Linked DNA regions of Yarrowia lipolytica. The protein of the gene in region 1 purifies or fractionates together with the protein of each later gene. This does not show direct contact. Links are inferred from orthologs where the notes say so. Each region holds a gene or a part of one and is shown in the gene's direction. Other genes may lie near its edges. The genes, in order: YALI1_C05813g, YALI1_E32816g, YALI1_D11722g and YALI1_A05254g.

Region 1 (6,812 bases):
ACTGCAACGGTGCCCGAATCAAGTCCATCACCATCAAGACCGGTGCCGCCGAGAAGTGCTACAAGACCGAGCGATTCAACTCCGTCTACGTTGCCCCCTCCAACGACTGTGAGATCCGAGTCTTCAAGGACCACAAGTGCCGAGGCGACCCCGACTACATTCTCGAGACCCAGGGAGGCAACGCCACCTGTTTCTCCGACACCAAGAACGCCCGATCCGTCATGGCTGTCTGCCAGGAGTAAGTCCACAACTCAAGCTCTCAAATTTCATGCCTACTTGTCGATAGATGATGGCATCTAGGCCTTTTAATATTAATGTCCATGGTAGCTTGGGGGACAAGTAGCGATAGACACTGTAGCAAACGATACCTCAAGTACAATCATTTCTGTAGCCTGTACATACTGTGTACAAGTCGAGTACATGTGAATTGTCTTAATTAGTTAGAATGTGTAAAAAAAAAAAAAGCACAAAGTATGGTACTTCGGAGACTGTTTCAGATATGATGGCCATTTCTGTCTAACTGGAGGTCACTGTAAGGTAAAAGTACAGCACATACAGTACATACAGTATTGTACAAGTACAATGCATTAATGACCTTGTTGCACTTTTTTTTTCTCATACAATTCAACTCATTATAGCAATATCAAGGATAATTCCAAATAATCGACTGTAACTACTCGGATGAGTTCACACGGTGGTTCATATAATGCACACTTGCCATCGTTGGCTCATCTGTTGGAAGGGTCGAGCCTCTTCCTTCAACACCTCTCCAACTATCACTTGTTGAACGAAAACCTGGACGTGAGTGACACCACTAGTTTCCATTATGAGGGACGATTCACTCAGCTGAATTTTTTCAATCGGATGGAGTGTTCAGTCGAACCCTCCACTAGGGTGCGGTGACTCTCCTGATGAGTCTCTCTGTTAGAGAGAAGAGTCTGGTTATTGGAAAGACTTCCAGTAGGTGATATGCAAGTCGTTAATGCATTTGTTATGGTATATCTAAAAAGTTTTGTTATTTTTTCAACATCACTCAAATAAATTTCATGAGTCTTAACAAAAATGTGCTTTCCACTCTGAAGACCTGGACCCGACCCAAGACGCTTTGCAGGAGCCCCCTTGTATATAAAGCGGGCTGGAATTTGCACGTGTTTGGAGGGGGCTCTTAACATGTCAGATTTACAACTCCAGTTGGTGAGATCGTTTTGACAACGAAGTAGTGCGCTCATCAGTGGTCTCTTCAAATGCTGACTGGATCATGCTTCTCCTCATTGGTGATGATGCATAAATTAGAGTCGACGCTCATAGGGAATTAGCGAAGATATCGAGAAAATCGACATTCAAAAGTAACCGAAATGTCCCCATGATCTCGTCAGGTAATCCCCTTTCTATTTGTGAACAATTACTCGACCAACTACCATTCCTATCCTGGCTGTCCTCTACATCAGAATTAACTCAGGAACTGAACTCTACCATTACAACTACACTCAGTCGTCATCATGAAAAGAAGCCGAGATGAAGACCTCGAAGATACCTGCAGAGATTTTGCACCAACTCCAAATACCTATCCAACCACTTATACCTGCTCGCTGCACCCCGATCCAATCTCTTTTGCGTCATTGGAGGCCTTCGAAAGTCATTACTCAACCAGCCATACTTGGACATGCACCACTTGTCAGGCCAGGTTTCCGAGCGAAAAATTTCTGAATCTGCATCTGGACGAAGAACACGACCCGTTCGTAGCGATATCACGTGACCGCGGCGACAAATATCTTGCATGTTTTGAGGAGGGCTGTGATAAACGGTTTGCAGAGTACAGGAAGAGGAGGATGCATCTGGTTGACAAGCATGGGTATCCGAAGAACTTCAGGTTTGGACTGGTGACAAAAGGACTGAAGGAGGGTGAGGTTTCGCTTTTGAAGCAGTGATGAGTCGAGGATGAGCAACTCAGGGCTAGACGGGTGGTTGTGAGTTTTTGGTTTCCAAACTCACAATGGGCACGTCTGAGGGGGATATCGCAAGCAGTGCTGTAGAGACGACGAGATCGACACAGCGCCAATAACTTTACATGTATACACATTCAACTGCCGATTCTGGCCACATACACTAACCATTCATCAAGGGTTATACAAATACATTGCATTATGTTTACATCTATGCTATATGAACCGCACTGGTTCATGTTAGGGATCGGTCTAATAGCAACTATGGCTTAACGACCTTCTTTTTCTTCTTCTTGAGAGGTTTTCGACCCAAACCAGCCAAAGTCTTCTCAGAGTAGGTAGTATCGCATGTAGGACATCTTCTGTTGCTGGGAATCTGGCTCATGATACACAGACAGACAGAGCAGACATAGCCAATATCCACCACCTGTTTAGTCAGGAAACATGCTGCTCGAAAGTCCACATTGGACTGGGTGGGCAGCACAATATGGGGTCGTAAACTGGGGTCTGAGATAAAGCCCGATAGCAGATACTGAACCAAACCCTTGGGTGTTTTGGAGTTCTTTTCACTGATATCCATGTAGATGCCGTGTGTCGAGTCGCATGCTTGTTGCAGAAAGACCTGGTCGGATCCAGGACCCAGTTTGCACACATCGACGGGGATCTTGAGCTTTTGGGCGGCGAAAATGCAGTTCATAGTAGGGATGTATTGGATGGTTTCGTTTTTGTGTCCGACGGTGAGCAGCAGGATCCTTGCTCGCATTCTCGACTCGTCCACAAACACATGTTTGTTTATGAACCCTAGAGCTAGACTCAGTGCTCCGGAGATGGCCGAGTTGTGTTGTTTCTCCTCCTCCACGTAGTTGGTGTGGTTCAGCATGTTCCACAGCTCCGTCTGCACAACCTCGTCCACCGTCTTGAATTGTCTGTACATGGAGTGGTCCTTCTTGCTGGGTGCCTGTTCTCCATCGCTTACACTCTCCGATCTCTCTTCTCTCTCCTTTGATCTAGTCGATTCAACGCCGCTTTTAGGAGGATACAAAATTCGAGCACCACTGGCGTTGTATCCAATCACATTAACGCTGTTGGAGTTGTGCAGAGCCAAGTGGGCGTTGATGAAGACGAGAATGGAAGCCACAGCCTCCGAGATGGATATTTGCGACTTGATTTCTTCCCACGACGGCACATGGGCGTCAATGATGATCGACAACAACGACGGCGTGTCGTCCAGAGTCTGATCCTCCGTGTCCTTGAGCTGGCGGGACGTTCCATCAATGGCGTTCATGGTGGTGGAGGAAGGCTTCGGTGTCTGAAAAGTAGATGTTAGATAGAGGATTTGAGTTTGCTGATTTGAATGAGCTGCGAAAGTACCAGTACAATCCTGTCTTGTACTTGTACGAGTGTACAGTTCTTTTTACACGTGTATAGGGGTGGGTACATATTGATGTGATCATGTGATATAATTAGTTGATACTGTACTGTGAGTGGGATTACTTATCCAGTTCCTTTCTTCTCGGTCTCCATCAAAGCTTAGTCATGTCATATTTCAGTGGTCAGCCAGCCTGAACTTACCTCCCTACAATATCGTGCCAGTAGAGTGAATCGAACTCACGCCACTGCCCATACAATTGTAACATGTCGCTCTATCACACTCAGGGTTCGTATTTGAAGCTGTTATGCATCACTGATCGGTTCGAAACTCGGCCCGGATCTTCAATCCATGGTCCAAAGTGCTCAGAATGTCCCGGCTTCCACTTCCGCTTCCTCATTCTTCTTTTCATTTCATACACCCCGTCTACAAGTAGTGCCTTCCTCATAACAGAGTTCGAGTCTCATGCAGGTCTAAACCTCCACTGATATTTTTCATTTAAGCGTTCACCTCATTTTCGAGTTTTGGCCTGACCCCTATATACCCCAAGACACTCCCCAAAATGGCCGCCACCAACAGACAGATCTTGACGCAGGGCGACCGGTCATACGCCAAGAAAAAAACTAGCCAGTTTGGCGTGGATGAGGTCTCCTACGACGCCGCCAACCGGAAGGAGTACCTGACGGGCTTCCGAAAGCGAAAGCTGCAACGAAAGGAAAAGGCGCAAGAGAAGGCCAAGGAGCAGGCGCGGCTGGACCGGATCGCCGAGCGGAAAAAATTGCGAGACGAAAGAAAAGGTGACCAGGAAAAGGAGCGAGCTCGAATGCAGAAGGCCATGAAGGATATCGAGAGAGCTCGATCGGGCTATTTCAGCACTGACGACGAGAAGGATTCTGATTCTGGCGACGAGTCTGAGGATGAAGAGGAGGACGAAGAGGAGGACGAAGAGAAGACTTTAAAGAAGTCGAAAAAGTCGTCTAGCACTGATGAAGACGACTTCTCCGACTGGGAGGGTATCGATAAGCCCGGAGTGCTCAAGAAGCAAAAGAAGAAGTACGTGGACGGTCAGGGAAAGAAAACCACGGTGACCATTGAGGCCGTGTCCCTTGATTCCGATGATGAGGACCAGAACAACACATATGTGGACATGTCCAAGGCTGACGAGGTCTTGAAGGAAAGCTTGGACAAGGCTGGTCTGGCCGCTGTCTACTCCGGCATGGCTGAGCCCAAGGTCAAGAAGCTGGTCAAGAAGACCAAGAAGAAGTTCCGATACCTGTCTTCCACTGAACGAAAGAAGAACCTGGACAAGGAGCGAGCTCGAGCCAAGGCCAAGCGAACCAAGAAGGAGTAGGACACGTTGGACCGTACTGGTAGATAGTTTATTGCATGCATGTATTATAGGATAGCCAGGAATAGGGCGTAGATATGGTTGGAGTGAGTTGTAACGAGTTTCAGTGTGTTGCGTGTGATATGAATTCAACACCGAAGTGCGAACTTACTACGTATATATCTACAGTACATACTGTACTATTATCAGATCATTAGCCGTTACTCCTGGATAAATAAAATGCTCGAATACTTCTTTACAGCATATACACAAACTCCTTCTGGGTCTCACTGATGGTCGCATGATTTGTTCCACTGATGCGTCGTCGTTTCAGAAAGAAGACAATACCCAGAGTACCAAATACCGAAGCGATCATGAACCCCATGTTGATCCAACATCCCCGTTTGAAGAGTGGACCATCTGTTGAGGTGAAGACTCTCAGGACCAGTACTCCATACCAGCAGCTCACAGACGAGAAAATGGCGAAGGACATGAGTCGCTTGTTTCTGCCCTGAACATTACTCCCCAGCCATCCACAAAGAGAAGCAAAGGCAGCAGTTGCATTAGGAATCGTGAACCAGCCCCCTCCGAATTTGATCCACCAGTTGTGTTCTGAAGGCTTGCACAGAATAAGTGCCCATCCAATGATGCAGAAGAGATAATTCATGAGCAGAAACGGGGACAAAACTTTTTTCTGGGCAACCAAATACCCCTGAAAACTTGACCAAATGACACCAAACACGAGAATAGTCCATATGATCAACTGTCCCAAGGCTGCGGTATACTCCAACTCTTCAAAAGTCGCACTTTGAACCTGTGCATAGCATGACACCAAACAGGAGTATGTAAAGAAGCCAAGGATGGAGATAAACCAAACCAAGGGATCTTTTGCAGCGGAAATCAGACCTTCTAGAGGTGTCTCGGTCGGTTCAATTGGGTTTCCTCCTCCGTAATCTTCTTCAGTAAGTGTCTTGAAGACGTTGAATGCCTGCTCTCCGTACTTCGATATCCATTTTGGAGAGTAAAAGTTCTCAGGGAGCATGTACCAGACCACCGGAGCAAACACTACTGAACATAGGCCGGCTATAAAAAAGTCCCAAGACCATCCGGGTTTGCCTGCATTGATGAGACGAATCGCGATGGCCAGCATAGTGAACAGGGGGACCATGAACCAACTTCCACCCCAGACACAACCGACCACAAAGTGAGCCTCGTATCGGCCATGGTGTTCATAAATCATGTGGAGAAGAGCAGGCAGAGCAAAGCTCATACATGCTCCCATTACTGCTCTATCACAAATCAGCCCTGCATAATTGGTACAGAGACCCAGAAGAACAATGCACAGACCCCAACAGAACATTTCAACACCAATAAACACTCTAGGCGAGACTCTGAGAAACAAAAATGCCAGAGGAACTGCCAAAGTTGCATAGGGAAAGTACAGGGCAGCCTCAGTCCACTCAAATTGGGTATCGGACAGGTGGTTGAACTCCTGAAGCTTTCCTCCCTGAGCAGGCCCAATAACGTCACGTGCAACCAGATGGGCCACGTAGAACATTTGCAGCTGTCCGGAAATGGCTAGTGTTGTGTTTCGTCGGAGCTTTTTGAAACTGTTGGTTTCGATAAGAGTCCCTGACTTCTGAGAAGTTGTGTCAAGGTCTCGTTGCGACTTGAGACTAGGGTTCTCTGAGCCTGACAGAGGTGTGGGTAGTTTTTCGGCGTCCATAGTTGTTCATCTTCTCTGATCTCGCCATCCATTCAATATATATATCTCTCCATTCCTTAGCTCTTCCATCACGCAATGAAAAACTGTGGCGCATGAAGAGATTTAAGGAGTATCTCTATTGCTGAGAAGGGTGCTGTGCAAGAGAAGAACCATCTATTGCTCTTAAAACACCTATTGGTGGAGAAGGTATCTACTGGAATGTCTGTAAGCAAAAAGTAAACAGTTATTATGCTCCTTTCAAATCAATTGCACATTTCCCAGTCTCTCCCACTGCTCTCCTCCACGTCTACTTTCCCAGGATATTCAATTGACCTCGCCTTCTAACACCGTTTCTAGAAGCTCAGCCTCGTAACGATATCAGAGTTGTCCAAGAACCGAGAAATGCCACTGTAAAGAGAATATCTAGACAGCTTCAAGGTTTCTACAAGTAGATCAGCTCAACGTTTG
Region 2 (7,274 bases), on another chromosome or scaffold:
AACCGCGCGACAAGGCTGGGCTGCTTTTCTTAGTATATCACCATCAGAGAGATCTCCGTCACCCAACGGCAACGGGCAAACCCTACCCATTGTTTTAAACAGAAGCGGTATATATTATTTTTTTCTGCATTAGTTCCAGTGCGAGTATCAGTACAACTACGAGCAGTCGGCTTCGGGTGTGGAGTGCCTTCCCTTACCCATTAGTGTACGGTATTTGTACTGTAGATCTCGATGGTGGCATATGCATAGATTCGAATGGTTGTGTAGCCTAGACAGTGCCCATAAGGAGTTCCTATACAACATGTACAGTAGCATCTGAGGATACTCGCGTGTTCTTGGACAGCAACTAACCCTACTGTATGAGTACAGTATGAGTAACTTCTTTCCTTACTGTTACAGAAGAACGGATTTCATGTACTGTAAAAAGAAGGAGAAAAAAAAACAGTACAATACAGAATCACGCTAATGCACAAGTAAAATCCAACTAATGTTAGCTAGTTACTCAACCAATTCTAACTAATAACCACTCAGCCCTAATAGACATTTTACAGGTGACTACTTGTACTCGTACTGCAATATCAACCATATATTGATACACGTGACGTCCCAACGCCCTCCCGAGCCACAGCAACCAACCGCGTACTCCGCAACACCAACTGCAGCTCACGTTATGTCGCATGGCGCATCGTGTCCCACAGAAGGGTCTCTATCACGCTGCATAACCACTCTAACTCCTGAGATTGGTGAACTTTAATTTAGTAGCAGCTGTGAGAAGGCCATTTGAGCTCCAAAAAGACACTCAGGAAAAGCGAAAAGAGCACTGTATATCCCCTAATCGTTACTAATCAAACCGTGCCTGTTCGGTTAAATAGGGTTAGGACTGTTTCCTCATCTGAGTGGTCTGTCCCAAACAGGCAACCTCTCGTACCTCCCAACCCTGGGTTAGGGTGTGACTTTGGCTCTGTTTCCTCCCAACTGTCACGTGAATTTCCCAATTAAGCCAAAAGGCAGTCACACATTCCCATTCCCAGATGTACACTCTTTTTTCATGCAGCTCCGGAGCATCGGCCGCCGTCAGGTATAGTGGATTTTCACCGCTCTCATTTTCCACTCACCTCAACACCCTAAACATCAAAAATGTCCAAGCAGATCGGAGGAGCCAAGAACGGCGGTAGCCGAACCGTCCCCACTGAGAAGGCCCCCAAGTGGTACGTCGCTGAGCCCACTCACGTCAAGATCCCCACCGTCCAGAACAAGTCCAAGCTGCGACCTTCTCTTGTTCCCGGTGCCGTACTCATTCTCCTTGCCGGCCGATTCCGAGGCAAGCGAGTTGTTCTCCTCAAGTCTCTTGAGGATGGCACTCTCCTTGTGACCGGTCCCTTCAAGGTCAACGGTGTCCCTCTCCGACGAGTCAACGCCCGATACGTCATTGCCACCTCCACTAAGGTCGATGTCTCCGGTGTCAAGGCTGACAAGTTCACCCCTGCCTACTTCGCTCGATCTTCCGCCGACAAGAAGGCCGAGAAGCAGTTCTTCGCCGAGGGCAAGCAGAAGGAGCTCAAGGCCGAGCGAGTCGCCGACCAGAAGGACGTCGATGCTGCTCTCATTGCCGAGATCAAGAAGACTCCTCTTCTCAAGCAGTACCTGGCTTCCCAGTTCTCTCTCAAGTCTGGTGACAAGCCCCACCTGCTCAAGTTTTAAATTATAAAAACACAAAATGGAACATGGGGGTGGAAAATGGTGGACGGTGGTGAAGCCGTCGTCTGTCAAAAGCTGTATAGCAATGCAATTTGAATTTTACTTACAAGTAGGCGCGAAGCGACTATTTGTACTCGTAGCCACAAGTGGGAGTCAAAAGTAGGAGCGTATATATACGACTGCGTGCACACGTAGAACCAAAAAAAGGCACTGGTATCTGTAGCTCTTACTTGTAAACCGCATTTTATAAATTGTTCCACAAAATGCTTGCCTGTGGTGATGGCGTTGTGCTGAACAGCGCTGACTAGCGGTGATGTGCTGTATTAGAACCTGTGTTTACATGTACTCACCGATATTTACGTCCCGAGTTCGACTCAGACCATGGAAGCCACTTGTACGTAATCACTCACTTGACAAACGGTCTTCTGTGAAGAACCATTGTACTTGTAGCTTGTTGCTGCGGTCTCTCTCTGTAAATACATTCCATGCTGTTCAGACTGCTACTGCCATGCATCTCTGGTCGCTGTTGTTCCGTTGTGAAGCGGGCATCCATTAGTGGCTCTGGGGTGTGGGAGGATGTTGCTTGTAGTTACCTACAAGTAGAACAATGATGGCTCTTCTGGCACGAGTAGTAAGAGTCGAAGTATTGGAAACTGGTGTTCTTTGCACTTTTTTTTGTATTACCAACCTGTCCAGACCTTGTTACTGTAAATGCTACTTTTAGACAACTGTCATACTGGACTAGGCTTGATAAAACAATGACCTTCTAAACTCGCAAGTTTCCTCTGACCTGGTAGATGACTTAAGATAGCTCCCCTCGTCTTTACCTCTCAGACATATTGGTGCCAGTTGCTGTTCACACAGCATGTACGGTAGGTGTCCATTCGCGATACCACTCTCTCTCAACTTGGACACTCTTCCTACAAATGTACAACCGCCTATCATGACCCGTAGCTTCTGGTGGCTACACTGCGGAATGTATCTCACCAGAATGAACACCAATTACAGCCCCTCTGTCACCATGGCATTAATTGAGTCGCCACCTGGGTGTTTGCCACCAACTGGACCTCTACCACATCTTCTGCTACAACATGTCAACATGTATCTCCTCATCTACAGTACGACGTCATCAGTGCATCGTCTATGTGGAGTGCGTTTTTTGTTTTTTTCACTGTGCAGCTTTATATACAGTCCATGGAGCCAGTTTTGGTGGGCCACGATTTGTGAAAAAACCGTCGTCTTTAGTTAAGGCTCAGTTGGTGTTTCACTTAAAGCAGCCGCCCAATGTCCGTGTGGTGCCTGCCAACAAAGCAGCAAGTATTGGGGGTGAAATGAGATGGAAAAAAGAGTAACAAGACCAAAAATGGCTATATGGACTGAGAAGAAGTACAGTTACACATTCTATAGTGACCCGCCATAGTCCAACCCCTATACATGTGACAAATATCCATTCCCATCTCTGCCTCACCTCGCCGCCACCTTATCCTGCACGCCTTACATGAATAATGTGTATGGTGTTGCTGTTCCAAAGAGTTCCATGGGAACGAAAAAAGCCATTGCTCGAGATGGGGGCGACCAATGCAGACCAATCACAATCTCACATGACCAATTCAAGGCTACCACACTACTGGACCAAGCAGCCTTCTCTGCCAGATGTCCCTAAGTTGCTATAAATGTTACGTGACGACACAACCAACAACGATTGCAAGCACCAAGTCCCAAGTCCAAATAGTCCCACGTTTATTTTCCATGGATTGGGTTTGAGAGTGCCTTGATGGGCTGCGAAAGACGACATATCGCCTAACAGCAGTGGACGGTTCTACATGTCATATACACGTATGTTGGTGCATGTGTCCTACCAATTACCTCGATAGATCCCACCATTGCCACAATAACGGTTTCACCGTCTTCCACGAGCTCCAGCCAAATGTACAGCACTCCCGTTAAGCTCTTAGTGCATATGCAACCTTATTCCAAAAATTTGCCCATTTTAAATACTTGGGTCTGCACTTTTGTATCTATCACACACAACAACCATGTCTAACAACGCCAACAACTGCCTTCCCCTGGCCTCCTACACCCTGGCCGTGTTCCCCGGAATTCCCGTGGCCCCCATTGAGCAGGACTTCCCTGTTTCTGTGCGAATCACCATGGCTGCCATTGATCCCGCCCGAATTGAGGGTGATGAGGAGGAGCCCGCCACTCTCCGAATCCTTAAGCCTGCCGACAACTTCGACGATGAGGACGACGAGGATGACGAGGACGAGGATGACGACGATGAGGATGACGAAGTCTCTGCTGAGGACATGGCTCAGATCAAGAAGCTGATCGCCGCCAACGAGGACGGTCTCGATGAGGTTGAGGGAGGAGACGACGATGAGGATGACGACGAGGACGACGAGATGGAGTTCGAGGAGGACGATGAGGACGACGACGACGAGGGTGAGATTGAGGACTTTGTTGTCTGCACTCTCTCCCCCAAGTTTGGATACCAGCAGACTCTTGATCTCGTTATCACCCCCGGTGAGCAGATCATGTTCGAGGTCACTGGCTCCTACGCCATCCACCTCTCCGGTAACTACATTGAGCACCCCTACGACATGGAGGACGAGGATGAGCTCCTTGCTCTCGGTGAGGACGACGAGGATGATGAGGACGAGCTCGACGAAGGCGAGTACGATCTCTCTCCCGATGAGGATGAGGTCATCAACGGTGACGAGCGACTTGTCGAGCTCATGGAGCAGGACGACGAGGACGATGAGGACGATGAGGATGAGGAGGAAGAGCCCGTTGTCGAGCCTAAGAAGATCCTCAAGCGAGCCGCCGAGGAGAAGAAGCAGGAGAAGGCCGCCAAGAAGGCCAAGGTTGCCTTCACCAAGAACCTCGAGCAGGGCCCCACTCCCTCCGAGCCCAAGCCCAAGCTTGTCACCCGACAGCTTGAGGGTGGTGTCAAGATTGAGGACCGAACCGTCGGTGAGGGTCCTTCCGCCAAGGTCGGCTCCAAGGTCGGTGTCCGATACGTTGGCAAGCTCGCCAACGGTAAGGTCTTTGACTCCAACTCCAAGGGTAAGCCTTTCTACTTCTCTGTCGGTAAGGGCGAGGTCATCCGAGGATGGGACATTGGTGTCCAGGGTATGAAGGTCAAGGGTGAGCGACGAATCATTATCCCCCCTGGAATGGCCTACGGTAAGCAGAAGCTGCCCGGTATCCCCCCCAACTCCCAGCTTACTTTCGATGTTAAGGTCGTTAACATCAAATAAGCGATTATCTTCCAAGCCCACAAACGACTGGCCAAGACAAACATATTGGTTAAGTATGTATTTAATGTATTATTGATATAGACGTTAAGGTGTATGCAGTATACTTGTATGTAGGTTGATGTGAATGTACTTAACCCCGGTCACACGTCACTGAGGTTCATGACTTGGCCTGGTTTGAGATTTAAGGTGCCTGAACCAACTACAGGGTGCAACCAGCTTATAAACTGGCCTTCAATATGCTGAATTCCACTGCGAAAGTCGAATAGCACATTAGTCAGAGGGTAGATTAACAGAGTGAGTGTATCTATCACATGTGTTGTTTCCAGAGTGTTGTAGCACACGTATCTATCATCATGGTAACCGATTTCCACCCCATTGGGACTCACCTGATGATGTTCTCCAGTAAGCATGTTCTTCACTTGAAGAGTGTAGTTAGGTCCCTTGAAGAATAGCAGTCCATTTATAAGGACGCAATTGACACTGTTGGCGGAAGCCATAGTTATACATCCTTCCAACAAGTTCATTCTCCTCTCCTTCCAGTTCACAAACAGTATGTCACTAAGAAAGTCTTGTTTGTCTGTTTCCTCTGAGTCTTCCCAGTATCTATGGAGATAGACAAAGGTCTGGTTTGGATTCGAGGCTCTAAAGAGATGCTTGTGTCTTGTGTTTTGGTATTTCATAGGTATCTGGACTCTCAAATCTGGTCCCTGTCGTTTCTGCCACACCACGCTGTTTTCTTCTAGGGCGATGGACTCAAACTCCTTGTTGAATTCAGAGAAACAGTACCAGGACGTAGTATCAGTTCCTCCTTCAGTTTCCACCGCTTTAACACTCCATTCCCGATAGTTCACCACATACCCGATCTTACCGTCTCCTTGTATGTATACGAGGTGTTTGAGGAACCCAGCCTTCGGACTAGGAGGACCTGCCTTCTGACTGCACTTGGTCAAAGGTCCTGTGGTGAAAACCAGAGGTCTGTTGAGTCGAATGACGCTGTTTTTGGCCTTCTCACAGAACTCTCCCCCGATATCTTTCAGGTATAGAGCCCAAACTGCATCGGACAGTTCGTTGCTCAGATGAAAGAGCTCTCTGCACGAGTATCTGAGGTTCAGCGCGGTGCGAAAGTCGACCAAAGAGAAAATCTGAGTCCAAATATCGTGGTTAAGCATGTTTTCAGTTGTTTGAGCGGTTTCCAAAGGTCTGGCAAAAGTCCTTGTGACATTGTGTTTTAGTGTATGTTAGGATGCATTTCGGTGGAAAAACATGTGGGTTCATGTTCGTTAAAGGCGATAAATTTGAAAAGTGAGAGTCGGTGACAGATTTGAGATATTTGCTCAGTAATTTTGTCATGGTTATACGATCCCTAGTTTTACTCATAAATACAGCACTTCCCCAAGGAACTCTTCTCTATCCAACGATGCTACATGCACTATTGTAGTCTTGGCTACTAGTGTCAACTTGTTTATTCGGCTTCGGAGGGTGCATCAGTCTAGATCTGGATACTAGCATCTTGTGAGTGTCATCATAATGAGTACTCGTACAAGTATCTACATTGTACCGTCTCGAACTTGCATGTGTGCTTGCACGAGTACCTATTTAGTACTGTCTCACAATGTCTGGTCTCAGTGTCCTATGTCTCAAACATCTGGGCCTTAGGGTAGCCTCCCATGCCTTAGATTCTCGTAGCTCAAAACAAAATAATACATTATATATGACTTCTAAACACTGCTTTCGGTCTCCTTTCCGTAAGACCCATCGTCTCGCTGTTCCGGGTATTCTTGCTGTTCGGGGTAATGTTCCTGCTGAACGTCCTGGAACTCGTTTTTTTCGCTCTTGCTATGCTTGACAGCTCCGGCGTTGATGTGGGTTCGGCCCCAGACGAAGCCGGGGTAGAAGACGGTCAGAATGGTGATGGCAATGAGCATCATCAGACCGTCCAGCACAAGCAGGTAGGCCTCGTGCTGAAGAAGATTGCCGTACCAGCCCTCAGCCAGCTCGACGACTCGGTAGACGGACCGAGTGAAGACAAAGCCAAAGGCAATGTATGTAGCAATGACAAAGTACTTCATCTTGGGCGACTCTCGAATAGCAATGATTTCGGGGTCATTGGCTCGAGAGTCCGCGACGTTGGGGTTACGGATACCCTTGTGCACTCGCCACAAGAAGTCAGTGGTCATGATAAAGAAAATTGACATGGTGAAGACCTGAAAAGCCATACCGGCGACCATGATGTGAGTTCCGTCGTCGGTAGACTTGTTGTCGTAGAGAGCAGTGGCTGAAATACCTCCTCCTACAGCCTGGATGACAATGGAAATC
Region 3 (8,596 bases), on another chromosome or scaffold:
CTACTTGTATTGTAACCGCAGCTAGTCTCGAGCTATGCTGAACCGTCTGTGATTATCACCAGCTTTTCAGTCGTATATGATATTGGACCACAAGTATGGTATGGTATCTAGTCCAACCCCTCAAGAGTCTTACCAATAATGGTCCGCGTAAAGGATTGATTTACCGCCTCGCCATCTGTTCTTCCAGTCAATTAGGTCAACTAGTTTGGAACTAGTCTGGATCTACAGCAAGGTGCTAATTCAGACAACAAGAACACTCATTTCCGTCGTTTACTTCCAGAAAATGACATATATATACCCGTAGACCGTCACCGGTTATACCCCAGAGATCGCCATACCCCAAGGAACGTCATACCCCAAGGGAGATCTGTATAAAAGACGAAACATCTACCCTTTCTTGTAGAATTTGGTATAACTATGTTCACAGGACGCTGTTATACAAGCCAATGTGTTTTTACGACCAGGTACAAGCTCTGTAGATGTAACGAGTAAGGAAATTAGAACATTGTTATTCTGAAAACAAGAGGACCCAGACGGCAACTTTGGATACTTATGATCCGCAGCACACTCTCAATCTACTCTACAAGAGCAAGACATGTCTGGAGACTTCAAATACCTGTCGTTTAGACAATGAATCTTGATACTCGGCTGTTTCAAAGGCCCACTATTGTTATATTGCTGATGAGACTTACCAGGTGTCTGTGCATGACTATTTCAGAGTCAGCATAGGAATCCGTGATGGACAAGTCTGCTCATAGATATGTAGAGGCGACCTATATTTATGTAGCGCTGTAATTGCACAAGTAATATACCGGTACTTGAACAGGTAGATACTGTGCTCACACGTCTTGCTTTATCCGATTGAACTTGACCCAGACATGGCCATTCAAGGTCTGATACAGGAAGGAGAATTGTCGATTGTATGTCCGGTGATTGAACTGAATGCTCAGGAAAGACAAAACATGCGATTATATTAGTACACACAGTACCCGCATTAGTACCGGTAGAATTACTTGTTTTACTTATAAAAAAGCCATTTACGACAGTAATTAGACTGGATTTCTTCTAAAATATCGTCATTATGTTTACACCTACTGACACTCTCGTATTTGACTGACTATCTTTCAACTTCTATATCTCCGGTCTACTTACCCACCAAACAGTCTGGTAGCGTAATAAACCACTACAACACACAGAAACTGTACAAAGCCTTCTCTGAATCCCACGGGACATGCTTCAGGAACGCTTCATACTCCGTCCAGGGGTATCGTGTCTTTGGGCATCATCTGGCCCAACACCAACAACGTCAATTGAGCTTCCTGAAACGACTCATCGAAGATCTGAATCCTAGAAACGTTTTAGATACTCAATTGAAGCGAGAGAGTTCGATTATGCCGGGCTCTCATTGAGCGACTTTGGCACTTTCAACGGAGTCTTCAAAACCCCAAAGTGCACAACACGTCTCAAACAGCACTTGTTGATACACAGTTGTTAGGTGCCCGAATAAACCCGACGAGAGGAAACACATATCTGAGAATATATACCAATACAGCACAGCAGCAGTACTCTTTCGAGTCAGCCCAAATCTCCTCCATTTCCTCCAGAAACTCAAAATTAATTAACGTTGGATTTATTGACAATTTATTCGTCTCGACTGCGAATTAGCCGTGTAAATTAAAAATCCAGAGTTATGCACCATCATGCACGCTTAAAACTCTAACAAAAGCTTATTTGACTCGATTTTTTTCTGCTAAACTCAATTTACTGACTACCTGAGAAGTACGAGTACGAGTGAGTTGAAATCGATATGCAATGAAAAAGAGGCCATCTTACAGTAACAAACTGACATCGTCCCTGTCTGTGAACGACTTGAGTCGAATTTGAGCCGAATTTGAGCTGAGACCTCTCTCGCCACATCTTGTCTTCATCGTCTTCATCTTCGTCTTCACCTACCGGATAACTTGATCTTCTCCAATAGCTTCTAGTATACCAACAAAATGACATTGTGGAGGAGATGTCGAGGTACTGTTTACAGAGTTGAATAGCCAGTCCTCTCTGGACACGTGATTCCTCCCGACACTTGATTAAACCGGAATGAGCTCCAGAGTCAGTTTGAGACAGCCTTGCCGCGGAGATCTGCCTAGTCGACCTACCGCGTGGAACGGCCTGGATGATCATTGTCGATATACAGTACCGCGGAAAACTGCCTGATTCACTACTGTATGCTCTGTCGGAACTGGTCGTTGATATGGCCAGAAAACAACACTCCGGCCACCCACGGAACCATGCCAGAACGAGCTCGGTATAGGAGGGAAGGATTGGAGACAAGACGTGAATTCTCTCTCTTGTAATTGTTCGTGGGTCTAAGAATGAACATCTAGATGAACGCCTCTCAGCGCGGCTGTTTAAGACACACGCTAGAAAGGAGCCACTGGTAGAGTAAAACTCAAGCTGAGACGCGCTTTGGTTTCATTCTCGTACGAGTACAACCAACAATTGTACAAGTAGTTCTTCCTAGCACTGAGTAATTCTTCCTAGAGCGTCTCCTAGTGTGATTTTCCTTCTGGTTAGAATGTCTTTATAGGTGCTCCAATATGATCCAGTCCTACTCATTCAGGCTCAACTAAAGCTTAAGTAATTTTAGGGTCCCAGTTTCCACAAAAATGGCAATAAAATCATATTTTGTATGGAGAATATGGGAAATAATATAATTATTTTCATCAATATTCAAATTCCATACAATCTGAACCTTTCCCCATCTTTCTACCACCCCTGGAACACCATATTTGCACCCCCAGCCGAGTTTTCCTTAACAAGGTTTAACTAATCACCAGTCTCAGTCAGTGGCAAATACAAAGTCCATACCCGAGGATTATTGTCATGAACAACATTGCAACCAAGTCAGCTTCCAAAATCATCCCCCTCAAATGAATGAAATATACCGGAGGGTAGGATTTCGCCCCTTGTCCCCTTTCCAACTAATCCCAAGTAAATTACTCAACGGCCCGTCTATGCTTTGTGTTACCCTACCGAACCTTGAGGTTAAAAAATCGGACAGGCTGCATGAGCCTTCTAAAATTATTTTTCAGCTAACCATACAACCAGACAACCATGGGTAAAATTCAAAAGAAACACGGAAAAGGTCGATTGGATCACTACTATCGATTGGCCAAGGAGAAGGGCTACCGAGCGCGATCGTCGTTCAAAATCATCCAGATCAACCAGAAGTACGGCAAGTTTTTAGAAAAGTCCAAGGTGGTGATTGATCTGTGTGCTGCTCCTGGCTCGTGGTGTCAGGTGGCGTCGCAGCTCTGTCCCGTTAACTCACTCATCATCGGCTGTGATATTGTTCCCATCAAGCCGCTTCCTAACGTCATCACTTTCCAGTCAGATATCACCACTGACCACTGCCGACAGCAGCTTCGACAATACATGAAAACGTGGAAGGCGGACACAGTCATGCACGATGGTGCGCCCAACGTGGGTATGGCGTGGGCCCAGGATGCCTTCACGCAGTCCGAGCTGGTTCTGCAATCGCTCAAGCTGGCGGTGGAGTTCCTCAACAAGGGCGGAACCTTTGTCACCAAGGTGTTCCGATCCAAAGATTACAACAACCTCATGTGGGTGTTCCAGCAGTTTTTCGAGAAGGTGGAGGCCACCAAACCGCCCTCTTCGCGAAACGTGTCCGCCGAGATTTTCGTCGTCTGTCTTAAGTTCAAGGCTCCCAAGAAAATCGACCCCCGACTGCTGGACGCCAAGTACGTGTTCGAGGAGGTGTCTCAGGGCAACAACAACAACGAGGCCAAGGTGTTCAACCCCGAGGTCAAGCGACGAAAGCGAGAGGGTTACGAGGAGGGCGAGTACCTGCAACACAAGCGTCTGTCCATTCTGGACTTTATCACAGACTCTACTCCCATTGACAATCTGGGAGAGACCAACGAGATGACGTGGACCCCCAGATCCATCAAGGAGGGAGAGGTTGACGAGGAGGAAGAGAAGGAGAAGGATAAGGAGGCTCGAGACGAGCGGGGAAACGTCCAGTATGTGCTTGACGACAAGGTTTACTCGGACGAAGACGCTCTCAAGATGGTGTCCAAGCTGCCCCAGACCACCCCAGAGCTGCTCGAGTGTCTCAAGGATCTCAAGGTGCTAGGCCGAAAGGAGTTCCGGGCCATTCTCAAGTGGCGACTCAGCGCACGTGACCTTCTGCAGATTGACAAGCCCGAGGCCGGAGTGGAGGTTGAGGAGGAGGAGCTGGACGAGGACCAGCTGATTGACAAGGAGCTGTCTGAGCTTGGCGAGCGAGAAAAGGCCCGTAAGAAGCGGGAAAGACGACGCCGAAACGAAATGAAACAGCGAGAAATCCAGCGAATGCAGATGAACATGACCACCCCCACAGAGCTCGGTATCGAGGCTGCCAAAATGGAGTCACTGTTCAACCTGAAACAGGCGGAGCGAACCGGCAAGCTGAGCGAGCTGCAGAAGGGTAAGCGAAGCCATGTGAGCGAGACAGGCGACGAGCACGTGACTCTGGAAGAGGCCGAGCGGGTCGACTACGGCTCCGACGACGAGGCCAACGGTCTGGAGGATGAGCTCGAGTCCATGTACACCGAGTATCTGGAGAACAAGGCTGCTCGAACTGCCAAGAGTGTGGTTCAGCGAAAGAAAGCCAATGTTGAGACCGAGGAGTGGTTTGGTATTTCCGACAAGAAGGATGGTGACGAGTCTGACGGCGAAATGTCTGCTGACGATGTTGACATGGCCACCATTGACGATGGCGAAGACGAGGACGACGGCAAGACTGCCCGAACTCTCAACAACGGCAACATGTTCTTTTCCAACCCGATTTTCGACAATCTGGTGAACGCCGCCGTGGCCAAGACCGAGGCCAAACCCAAGGCTCTGGACCTGCTGGAGCCCGGAGCCAAGGACCTGATTGAGCTGGAGAAGGCCAAGAAGCGCAAGTACGCCAAGAAGAACGGTCTCGAATACTCCGACAGTGAAGACGAGGAGGACGATATCGTCATGGAGACCCAGAAGCAGGACGATTCTGACATTGAGTACGTGCATGGCGAGTCTGACTCCGACGACGAGCCCAACATTGATCTGGTGACCGACCAGGCCATGACCATGGCCCACCAGTTGGCCACCGGCCAGACCAACAAACACAAGCTCCAGGACGATGGCTACAACCGGTACTCGTTCCGAGACCTGGACGGCCTGCCCCAGTGGTTCCAGGACGACGAAAACAAACATAACAAGCTCAACAAGCCCATCACCAAGGAGGCTGTGGAGGCGCTTAAGCAGAAGATGAAGACTCTCAACGCCCGGCCCATCAAGAAGGTGTTGGAGGCCAAGGGCCGAAAGAAGATGCGAGCTCTCCGACGACTGGAGCAGATGAAGAAGAAGTCCGAGCTGATCAACGAAGATGGCGCGCGATCGGAGAAGGAGAAGGCCGATGACATTTCCAAGCTCATGCGAAAGCTCGCCAAGCCCCAGAAGTCCAAGAAGAAGACCGTCACCGTCGTCTACGCCGGAGGAAAGAACAAGGGTATTGCTGGCCGACCTAGAGGAGTCACAGGAAAGTATAAGATGGTTGATGGAACCATGAAGAAGGAGCAGCGTGCTATTCGACGAATTAAGAAGAAGATGGGCAAGAAATAGTCATATGGATAGAATTAATGGATGGTATTGTATTAGAATAGTGAGAGAGTGGATGTGATTGTTGGTGTTCAGTCAGTTGGACTGTATCTTTAGTTGAAATAGTTTTTTGGATCTACTTAGCATGAAAAGTCCACTGGGGGGCTCATTTCTGGTGTTCCTAACTTACTAGAGAAGAAAAGAGTGTGTCCTAGGATCACAGGGTACCTCTACTAAGTAGAATCAATCAACAGTTCTCCTTACTGATCCAGTCTCTTACTGGATGCGATCCACTACTCACCATATCAATCACCACTCACATCCGTAATCATGTATCTATTCATATTTACTACGAGGTGGCTCGCACTAGTTCTGCTCTCCCCCAGCCAGCGCAATGACTCCGCTGTTCTTCTCCACATCCTCGTCGGGCACAAAGAAGGCTCCTCCCAGGTAAATGGCTGGCTCCTCAATGTTGTTATGCTCGTAAGACAGCACACCGACTCCTCCTGCCTCGAGAATCAGAGCCGGGTTGATGGTGATGTCTCCGTTGACCCATCGCAGAGCAAAGACTCGCAGGATGTGGCCGTGTGCGAACACCATGACGTCGCAATGCTCCTTGCCCTCGTCGAGCGCCTTCTTGTGGATCACCCGGATCTCCTTGATGAGCTCGTCCACTCGCTTCTGCACCTGTTGGGGCGACTCTCCGTCCTCGCAGCCGTCGGACCAAATGTTCCACTTGTGGCCGTCCTTGTCGATGCCTCGCGCGGTTCGGTCGGCCCGGATTTCGGCTGACTTTCGGCCCTCGTACTTGCCGTAGTCCCACTCTCGAATGTCTTCGGTCACGGTCTGGGGGATCTTGGCGAGAGCCTCGGGCTCGTCCTCAAAAAAGAGCTTGAGCGTCTGCTGGGCACGAGATCGGGGCGAAACAAAAATGTGCTCCACGTACGCCGGGTTCACCAGCCGGTTTCGGCCCACCAGCGCCCGTCCCGTCGCTCGCACTCGCTTGACTCCGTTCTCAGTCAATGGCAGATCAGTCACCGACGTGTGTTGGCCGGACTTTGACCATTCGGTCTCGCCGTGTCGTACAAAGATAACTCGAGGGGCCATTGTGTGTGTGTGATGTGTGTGTGTGTGTGTGGGTGGTTTGTTGATGTGTACTTGCGTTTGGAGTGGTTGGAGGAAGAGAAAGAGTGGTCTTGGAGCACTCGTAGCAATCTTGGCAAGTTGCAATACCGCTTGCAGACAAACGCAACGGCTATTTAATGTTCGGTGACGTCAGCTGGGTGGGCCCAAACTAAGTGTGGGGTTCGGGAGGGGCAAAAAAAAAAGCCTTGTCGCGGGGTTCAGAAAGAGGAGAATTTTCGATTCCGTGGAAAACCGCGCGAATTCAGACGGCTTTCTAATGATTCAGACCGATTCGCGTTTCTGGAGCGGAAAAAAACCGCAGTGACTAACAAACCTTAATTAGACGAGTCCATGCATAGACGCAACCAAATGCCGTTGCACACTTTTTTAGGCTCGTCCAGTTATTCCGAGGCGGTTGCAAAGAGTCCTAGGTTTCGACCGAAAATTTGGAGCAAATCGGGCTTCTCCAAGGCAAGGCTTGCAGAAGGCACCAAGAACCTTGTCTACGAGTACAGTATAAGCATAATTGATTACATAACCACATTACACATAGCATGCTGTAGATCCGTGTTCACTCAGTCTTAGATCACGCAGTCTTCACAGTCGTGTTTACTCTGTGATTGCTCAGCCCTATCTCTACAATTGCATCTCAATCTGAGGAGCCTTCTCTCCATTGAGCGCAGTCTCGGCCCTGCCCTTCCATGGTGTGGACAAAAGCCGCTGAAGAAACAGGTCCCGGAATTGTGCAGACTCGGGATTCAGGTCCTGCAGCTCCAACTCGCTGTCAATCAAGCTGGGGAACGACAGAAGCCGCTGCATGCCCCACTCCGTCTCGGACAGCGCCAAAAGAAGCGTGTATCGGGCCATAAACGGCAGGTTTGCGATAGTCGAAGAGCTCTCGAGACCCTGAAGGAGCACAAACGTCGGCTGGTAAGACGACAGATGCACATAGACCTCGAGAGTCTCGACCTTGAGAGGCACGGTCCGCACAGCATCCGAATAATGCTCCTTGATGTATTCAGGGTCCAGATTGGCGAGGAACTCGTAGTCCAGTCCCCGCTCCTTGTCAACAATGAACCTCTTACCCAGCTTGAGCTCCGTGTCGAGTTGCCACACAGTGTCGGGGTCTTCAGTGGAAAGAACACCCGTCAACTGGACCAGAACAGAGTCAATTAAAGAGTTGAGAAGCTCATCGGGTTCAAACAAGGACATTAGATGCTTGACGGTGCCAGAGAGGGTCTGGATGAAAGATGCGTCGGCCCTGAATAGGTTCGTGTAGTACTCGATTAGCACGTACAAGGCCAGAGGATCGTCTCTGTACATGTCAAAGTCGCTGGTATCGTATAAATAGCTGGGGAACCGAAACTCGGACACCGTGTCAAGCAGTAGCCCCTGTAGTCGAGAAGCTGTCACCACCTCGGTCTTCATGGCTCGGAGAACCTTGAGACATGCAGGGTCGGAAGTGAGTCGTCTCTGAACCAATTGGCTGTCTGCGGACTTGACAAGTCCCACCAGGGCGGTATGAGCGGCCGAAACGACACCAACGGGAGAATCTGGATCGGCTAGAAGCACAAGTGCGTCGTATAGCAGTTCTGTTTGAGCCACCAGATCCTGTCTAAGCAAGCTCAGAAGAGCCTGTTGGAGAGCAGCAAGTCCGGAAATGAGTCCCTCATGGATCGCTTCGACGGGGATAATCTTAGCCAGCTCATCAAAGCTCTGATCATGTGCCAGAGTCTGCAGCAGCTCACTGGATTCGTCCACGCCCTGGCGAAGACTGGTTTCAATATAGGGCATCAGGTTGCTCAGAAGCTCGAGTTTGGTCTCGTTTGAC
Region 4 (7,201 bases), on another chromosome or scaffold:
AGAACACCCCCTGCCTGCTGGAAAAACGTGTACCAAAAAGAATTGATCTCTCTGAGCTAAACGCAAGTTTTCAGGTCTAAATGAGTGTAAATCAGGTTAGCCAGGGCGACTATTCGTCTGGTCCAAGTACTCTGAGAAAAGTTGTCGCCTTGACCAATCATTTCACAGACTCTTCTTTCTGAAAAGCCTTACCAACCAGTGTATTGATTCGCTCTTGTAAAATTTGTAAAGCCTCCACCTTGAGCTTCGAACACTCGTTTCACCCAGTGATATCAGCCTGCCTATCAATTTAATGGCGGGCACAGCCTCGATCACGGAGTTGTACTCCCGCCAATGCGTCTCGTACCAAACGCCCTATTTTGGTGGGTCCAAAATACAAAAGGGGCTTGACTTGCGCAGTTCCGTCCGCAGATTGGCAAACAAGATCTCACAGCCCTTGTTGTAGTCGTCGTCGTCCTCTCTGTGAAACATCAGCTCCAAATCGCCCAGGATATACTGAGCCCTTCTGACACGCGCGCTCAGTTGCTCGTCTGCCGGACCAACGTATTCTTTCTCGAGAACGAACAGAACAGTTGCGATTGGTGTGTTCTGCTACACCGGTCTCTTACCAAGGAGCTCTCCGTCTACGGAACCAAGGAGAACCGAATCTCCATTGCCGGGGGCTTCCTCTAGAAGTCTCCAAAAGAGAATAAAGAATATGGGGAGCTTTTGGTTACTTTAGATACAGCACTGTAATTACAGTTGACGACCTCTGACCTGAGTGGAGATGAGATGAAGAACAGTAATCACATATCGTTATATAACATGCTGTACTAGTATGTACAGCAACGGCATACATACACCCACATATCTTTTAACTAGCAACTTGCTCATCTAATTGACATGAATCTGCACTGGCCAAGTTAAGGAACCCAGACACATGCGGTCTCCGAGCCCATCTGCCAGTTTCATCTTGGTCTTTTCAAATTGCAAAGGCTTAAGCGATTCGATATTTACTCCACCCGGCCCTTCAGGCCTGCGACGCAAGGCTCGTCGACAACTTTTGCTCCACATCAGGGCGACGAGAGAAGGACTGAGATCTTGCTTCATCGTCTCCAGCCGCTCATCCAAAAACGCTGGGACTGGGCCAAAGCGGGAGCGGGAATGAAAGTAGGGACCTTCCCACGAAACAATGGGATGGTCGAGACGGAGCGCAGCCTCCGCTGTCACGGTTCCACCGGATGTTCCTGTCATGTACCCGTAGGGAGGCCTACGAATCCCCCTAAGTTTCCTCTTCAGAGTACCGTACTTTGTGGGAGAGGCCTTGGAGGGACTCGTGCCAGGCTTGGCAGGGCTAACATTCTCCTTGGAAGGACTCGACTTGGTCTTGACAGGGGTGGCTTCGACGATACCGGCGCTGTCTGAGTGGCTTGTGCTCGGCCTTTTGTTCTCGCATTTATCACCGCGGTTCATCGTCATCAAAGGCGTGTCTGGGAGATTATCAGGCCATCGGACCCCTTTCGATACCGGGCGGTTATGCTTCTGAGACGGCTGGTCCACAAACGGACTAGGTTGATCAGTAAAGTAGCCCTCGAGGGGCTCCTGGTGCTGTTGGTTGGCAATACTGTGAGCAGTCTGTGGTCTCGACGTTCCGTCCCTTCCATTCGTTCGGGGTCGAGGGGGACCCTTATTTGGGTATCCATGAGCTGATGTTTGACCGCCGTAAGGAGATCCCTGGCCAACACATGGCGAGAAAGCTTGATTGTAGACGTGGTTCGGAGACGGCGACTGGTAGTAGGAGCTGTGAAGAGGCGGCGTCCCGTGGTATGCACTGTGAAGAGGCGACGACTGGTGGTATGAGCCATGACGAGGTGGTGTTGATTGGTAATGATGGTTAGCTTGCAAATGCGGAGGTGGCGTGTGTTGCATAGGGAATGCATGCGAAGGTGGAGTGTGTTGAATTGAATGAAGCAGAGAAGGAGGGGTTCCAGTAGAGGGCGAGTGCATGTTGGGATGCAGTTGCTGTATATGGCCAAGAGGAGCCATATTGAGGTCGTGGGGACTCCTGCGGAACTGTTGGAACTGAGACTCACGGGAGGAAAAGTCCTCCAAGCTGGCCTGTAGTTGTATCGCCTTATCTTTGGTATCCTCCAGCTCCTTGGCAATGGATGTGTTCTGCTCCAGTGTATGGTCCAGTCGGGCCTGCAGGTCATGAACCTCATTTTCCTTACTGGTCAATTGGGATCGCATGGTCTGTATCTCCTTATCCATTTGGGCCAGCTGAGCTTCGGCGTCAGACAAAGCCATCTGAGTCTGGGTGGCGTCGGACTTGACACGGCCCAGGACTTCTGTCAGCTCCTCATCCTTGGATACCAGTTGCGACTGTAGCTTTGCAACATGATTGAGCGCTTCGTCACGTTCTTTTGAGACCATGTTGAACTTGAGCTCTGCAATCTGCTCGCTGGCCTTGAGCTTCTCAATCTCCGCGATCGCTTTGATCTTGTCGTTGTTGGCGTCGCTGAGATGCTGCATGTGTCTTGCGAGATGTTCTTCGTCTGCCAATTTGCGACTCTCAGACATATTCGAACCCGCGGTTTGCAGATCTTTGAGCTGGTCACGAAGAGCATCGACTTCGGACTTGAGATTGTCGCACCGCCTGCGCTCCTCGGCTAAGGCGGCCTTGCCCTTTTGGTAGGACTGCTTGAACGTGGCCCATTTTGAAGCCCACATCTGTCGCTCTTTCTCCAAACCACGCTGCTCACACAGAGTCATGATTGTGGTGATGGTTTGGGTCAGAGACTTCCAGAGTGCGTCGGGGACATCGTGCAGTCTGGCCTTGGCGCCGAGTCGTTTGAACTCCGCAATGGTCGGTTCGAGGATGGAGTAGACATCTTTGAGCTTGCCGTTGATTTCTGCCGTGTCCACTTCATGCGAGATTTTGTGTAACAAGACTGCCAGGTCAGCAAGGACGGTGGTGGCCATGGTATCGGTCCGTCGGTGAGACGGGTGCGTATCGAGCAAGACACGGAAGTCGCTGGTATTACTGCTTTGACAGATGAGACAGTGTCACAGATAGGTCTCAGAGCGGATATCACACCAGGATATCACACCAGGGGTGTCACGGGGAGAAGTCGGTATCAAACGGGGGTATCAGTAGCGATGTATCTCAATGAGGGTATGCTTTGTTAGTGGCGTTAGTAGGCGGCGGTTTTCAATGACGGGAAACCGAAAAGTCGAAAAGAAAAAGAAGGAGAAGAAGAAGAAGTTGAATACCAAGATTCCGAGATTAACTAGTACAGTATACACAAAAGAGGTGAGTTTGTGGTCTGTGTCTCTTATTTCGGATTTAAGGTTTCAATACTACTCAGCCCTAACCCAACAGGAAGACTAACTCTAAAAAATGTGCAGGTTGATGCATTATGGAAGAAAATTCCAAAGGGCAGTTTTCCTAAGCACACGACAACATGAGCAAACAAACGAGCAGAAAAGGAAAGAAGGCGTGGAGAAAGAACATTGATCTGGAGGATCTGAACGCCGGTCTAGACAGCGCTCGAGAAAACGAGCGGCAGTTTGGCTCCAAGAACCTGGAGCAGGCTGGTGATGCTCTCTTCACTGTGGACACAGCTGGAACGTCTGGCGATGTCGAGACTTACCATAGCAAAAAGAAGGAGAAGCGTCTCAAGTCGGACGAGATTCTTGCCCGGCGATCTGCTGTCCCCGGCGTGATTGGCAAAAAGACCAAGAAGGAGAAGAAGATGAGCAAGGAGCAGCTGGATATGCTGTTGAAGAAGGCTGGACGACGAGATGTGGACAACAAGATGACCGAGGCTGCTCTGCAAGCCGACTCTGTCCTGGAGACTCCTGTTTACGACGCATGGGACGAGGCCCCCGCTCCTGTGGTTCCCAAGAAGAAGACCATTACTGCATCCAAGGTGGTCAAGCCCCGATCCGAGTTCCAGGGTTTCCCTCAGAGTATGACCAAGGTCAAGAATGCTGGATCTCGGGTTGCATACATGCCCAAGTCTGCTAAGCCTGAGAACATCATGCGGGCTACTTTTGCTAACGGTGATCACAGAGAGGCCACTTCTCGAACCCGAAGCACTGTGCGACCTTCCACTCTGGACCACAAGCCTCTTGTCTTTGGAGCCACTGACAAGGCTATTGAGGTTCCCCACGAGGGTCGATCTTACAATCCCTCTCTGGAGGCCTGGCAGGCTCTTCTCAAGGAGGAGCTGGCCAAGGAAGAGGCATTGGAGGAGGAACGACTGCAGCTGGAGGCCGACCAAGCCCGTGTCCAGCATCTCATGGACACCATGGAGGACCACGAGGACAAGCAGATGGATTACTCGTCCGAGGAGGAAGAGGAGGAGGCCTCTGATGAGGAACTCGAGGGCGGTAGCGTCGGTCTGTCTATCAACGCGCCTGCCAAGGAGAAGCGAAAGAGCATGGCTAAGCGACGACAGATGCGAGAACACAAGGAAAAGGAACGAATTCGAAAACAAATGAAGATGGAGATGAAGAAGATTCATGAGAAGATGCAACAGCTCGCCAAGCGGTCCGAGAAGTCCGAGCAGGAGAAGCAGGATCTCAAGGATCTCATTGCAGGAGGCGAGGCTGCCGAGAAGGTGCGAACCCGTCGGTACGGCAAATACGAAATTCTGGAGCCCACTCTCGATGTCAAGCTCTCAGGCGAGCTCACAGACTCTCTTCGACGACTCAAGCCCGAGGGATCGTTGATGCGAGACCGGTTCCGATCGCTGCAGCAGCGAGGAAAGATCGAGGCTCGAAAGCGACACAACCTCAAGCCCCGATACAAGAAGAAGGTGACCGAGAAGTGGTCTTTCAAGGACTTCAAATAGATGCAGATGGGATGGAATTAGTGAAAAGTAATATATTTTGGATTATACAGGATGTCAAGGTGAGATATTGGTATTGCGATACGACTACTGTATGTACAGGTACAGTGGTAATGGGTCTAATCATTTATGCGGAGCGAACGAGTTACTGTAGAGCAGACAATCTACAATTAGGACGGAAGAGATCTTCTACACTTATAAATCTGATTTTAAATAAATGCAATAAATATATAATACAGTAAACATAGTCGTGCAGTCACGATTTTTCGCTCTAAAATCCATACTTTGCTCCACTCTCCTTTTGGGTAAGGCGATTCTGAGAGTATGACGCCTCCAGCTGCTCCTTGTTGTCCTGGGCTTGTCGCAACAGACTGGTGATCTGGTGCTTGCCTCCTCCAATGGCCGTAAGAGGTCGCTTGTACTCGTCAAGCTTTCCTTCGGCCTTGAGTCTTTCCGATTCCTCCGTGAAAGCGTCCACTGAGAACTCGTGGATGTTGTCATTCGCCAGATTCTCAAATTCTCGATCTTTGCTTCGATTCTTGGGCCGAGGCGCTGCATCCAGCGTTTGGGCATGTGTTTTTTCAGAAACTACAATAATCGGTGGCTCAGCCACTTGTGTAACATTGTCCCCAATAGCCTGTGGCTTGATGATCTCGACCTTGGTGTCTTCCCTTACTTCCTTCTCCTGCTGGGCTCGCAAATTAAACAGGTTTCCGAGGCGTTTCGGAGCAGTTTGAGTCTCAGTTGTCGTTGAGTCCGCAGCCGCATCACCAGCAATAGTATCTACAACCGCAGTCTCTACAACCACAGTCTTTCCATCCGCCCCAACCGACTGGCCCTTGGCAGCTCGCTTTTCGGCTCTCAGCCGTTTTCGGACCGAGTTGGGCACCATTGTCTGCTTGTAAGATGCAGCGGTATTCACGGGGGACTCTGTCTGAGCCGGAGTCTTTTCCACCGCAGTTTCCTCTGTGCTAGTCTTGAGCTCTTCCTCTTTCTCAGTCAGCTTTTCAGGAACAGCAGTCGGGGTGTCCGTGGCGGAGCCCGCTCTGTCTGGAGACGCCGCTTTCTTAACGGGCTTGTTTCCCAACGCGCTGAACCGTTTCTTGTGTCGCAGTTGAATTTTTGCCATTGTCGCACTGATTCAGGAATCTTTTCAAAATCTTTTGGCCCATCACCACATATCCAGGAGAGCGCATCCTGTATGCAATGAAGTTACCCTACCTGTTCGCCTTGTCTCCAAACTCAAAATCTCATGAGGTCAAAATCTCACCACCCAAGGGCTCATATCACACACACCCACACATCACAGAAACATGTCTCAGGATCCCCATAACGGAAAGGGCACCTTTGAGGTGCACAAGCAACCCCAGCCCGGTCTCAAAGTGTGAGTATCACGACAATCGAGAGATTGACACGCCATGATATGTGTCGTAATCAGAGACAGGAGGTGGCTGCGACACTCAGGCAGTGTTGGCGGTGGAGGTTGGATTCGGGTGGCTAATGGTGGACGGGAGTGTGAAGAGAAGTTGTGGTTGAAATGGGCTATTTGAAGAGACGTGTTTGGTTGGTATTCCCCAAAGCGACTTGCAATCAAACTACCAATCTCACTCTCTTCAAGACACTACAGCTGCGTGCGACGATCAGAGCCACTGATCTCTCAATGCAACTCTGGGTTCAGTATCTACACGGACATTTTGTGACCAGGACAACACCGTGAATGAGAAATGTGTCTCCTTCATCCTTCTCTTCTCCAGAAAATCTACACGTTGTCTTGCTTGTGACAGACCCGTTTGAACTCTGCATTGCTGTGGCTAGCCACATGCCGCAACCAGCCAATCAATTGCTACAGCAAGCAGCACGTCGGTTTTATCACAACTACACCCTCTAAACTTTCGATGGTATCTTGAAGGACCTACTCCTGACCTCTGACCTCTGACCTCTGACCTCTGACCTCTGACCCCTGACCTTCGACCATGCTCGACCGTTCCATTCTAACACAGTTTCCGAAAGGGCAAGTACATTGACCCCAAGACCTTCCAGATGTCCCCCGCTCTGATTCGGGCCCGACGACCCTTCTTTGTGCGAAACATGCTCGCTCTGGCCGGCCTCACCGGTTTTGTCGCCGGTATCTACGGATACACCATGTACTCTCTGCGTACCGACGACTTTGGCGATGTGCCTATTCCTCCTCTTGATCCCGAAGAGATCAAGAAGCTCCAGAGCAAGTACAGCGACGACTCCAAGGCCTAGGTCTTTTGTATATATGTAAATAGTAAATTATTCTGACTGAGCACTGCGGGACTGACTGACCGTAATCAGGTCAGAAGTGCACCCAATGAGCTGTCTCATTGTGATTGTAGGTACGA

Evidence for each region.
Region 2: the proteins of YALI1_C05813g (region 1) and YALI1_E32816g purify together in Saccharomyces cerevisiae (affinity purification with mass spectrometry; 3 studies listed by BioGRID). This does not show direct contact. The link is inferred for Yarrowia lipolytica from reciprocal best matches to the Saccharomyces cerevisiae genes RRP17 and FPR3.
Region 3: the proteins of YALI1_C05813g (region 1) and YALI1_D11722g purify together in Saccharomyces cerevisiae (affinity purification with mass spectrometry, with the first as the bait; 3 studies listed by BioGRID). This does not show direct contact. The link is inferred for Yarrowia lipolytica from reciprocal best matches to the Saccharomyces cerevisiae genes RRP17 and SPB1.
Region 4: the proteins of YALI1_C05813g (region 1) and YALI1_A05254g purify together in Saccharomyces cerevisiae (affinity purification with mass spectrometry, with the first as the bait; 3 studies listed by BioGRID). This does not show direct contact. The link is inferred for Yarrowia lipolytica from reciprocal best matches to the Saccharomyces cerevisiae genes RRP17 and NOP53.

Annotation. Positions count from the first base shown.
Region 1 is NC_090772.1:578,461-585,272, reverse strand, and holds YALI1_C05813g (uncharacterized protein), read left to right. Parts: upstream 1-3,874; coding exon 3,875-4,663; downstream 4,664-6,812. Other genes in the region: YALI1_C05857g (uncharacterized protein), read left to right, coding at 1-242; YALI1_C05837g (uncharacterized protein), read left to right, coding at 1,500-1,928; YALI1_C05820g (uncharacterized protein), read right to left, coding at 2,206-3,228; YALI1_C05789g (uncharacterized protein), read right to left, coding at 4,896-6,365. UniProt on the Saccharomyces cerevisiae protein: Essential protein involved in ribosomal RNA processing.
Region 2 is NC_090774.1:3,278,061-3,285,334, reverse strand, and holds YALI1_E32816g (uncharacterized protein), read left to right. Parts: upstream 1-3,734; coding exon 3,735-4,958; downstream 4,959-7,274. Other genes in the region: YALI1_E32842g (60S ribosomal protein eL6), read left to right, coding at 1,138-1,701; YALI1_E32792g (uncharacterized protein), read right to left, coding at 5,099-6,127; YALI1_E32776g (uncharacterized protein), read right to left, coding at 6,677-7,274. UniProt on the Saccharomyces cerevisiae protein: Proline isomerase that belongs to an abundant class of enzymes that catalyze the cis-trans isomerization of X-Pro peptide bonds and can accelerate the refolding of proline-containing polypeptides. Specifically binds nuclear localization sequences.
Region 3 is NC_090773.1:1,166,775-1,175,370, reverse strand, and holds YALI1_D11722g (uncharacterized protein), read left to right. Parts: upstream 1-3,111; coding exon 3,112-5,664; downstream 5,665-8,596. Other genes in the region: YALI1_D11686g (uncharacterized protein), read right to left, coding at 6,007-6,747; YALI1_D11666g (uncharacterized protein), read right to left, coding at 7,402-8,596. UniProt on the Saccharomyces cerevisiae protein: Required for proper assembly of pre-ribosomal particles during the biogenesis of the 60S ribosomal subunit. Specifically methylates the guanosine in position 2922 of the 25S rRNA at the stage of 27S pre-rRNA maturation.
Region 4 is NC_090770.1:521,709-528,909, reverse strand, and holds YALI1_A05254g (uncharacterized protein), read left to right. Parts: upstream 1-3,443; coding exon 3,444-4,838; downstream 4,839-7,201. Other genes in the region: YALI1_A05284g (uncharacterized protein), read left to right, coding at 334-362, 501-672; YALI1_A05259g (uncharacterized protein), read right to left, coding at 874-2,961; YALI1_A05229g (uncharacterized protein), read right to left, coding at 5,107-5,964; YALI1_A05220g (uncharacterized protein), read left to right, coding at 6,149-6,219, 6,836-7,085. UniProt on the Saccharomyces cerevisiae protein: Late-acting factor in the nuclear maturation of 60S ribosomal subunits, which is required for normal acquisition of export competence. Required for the export of the large subunit.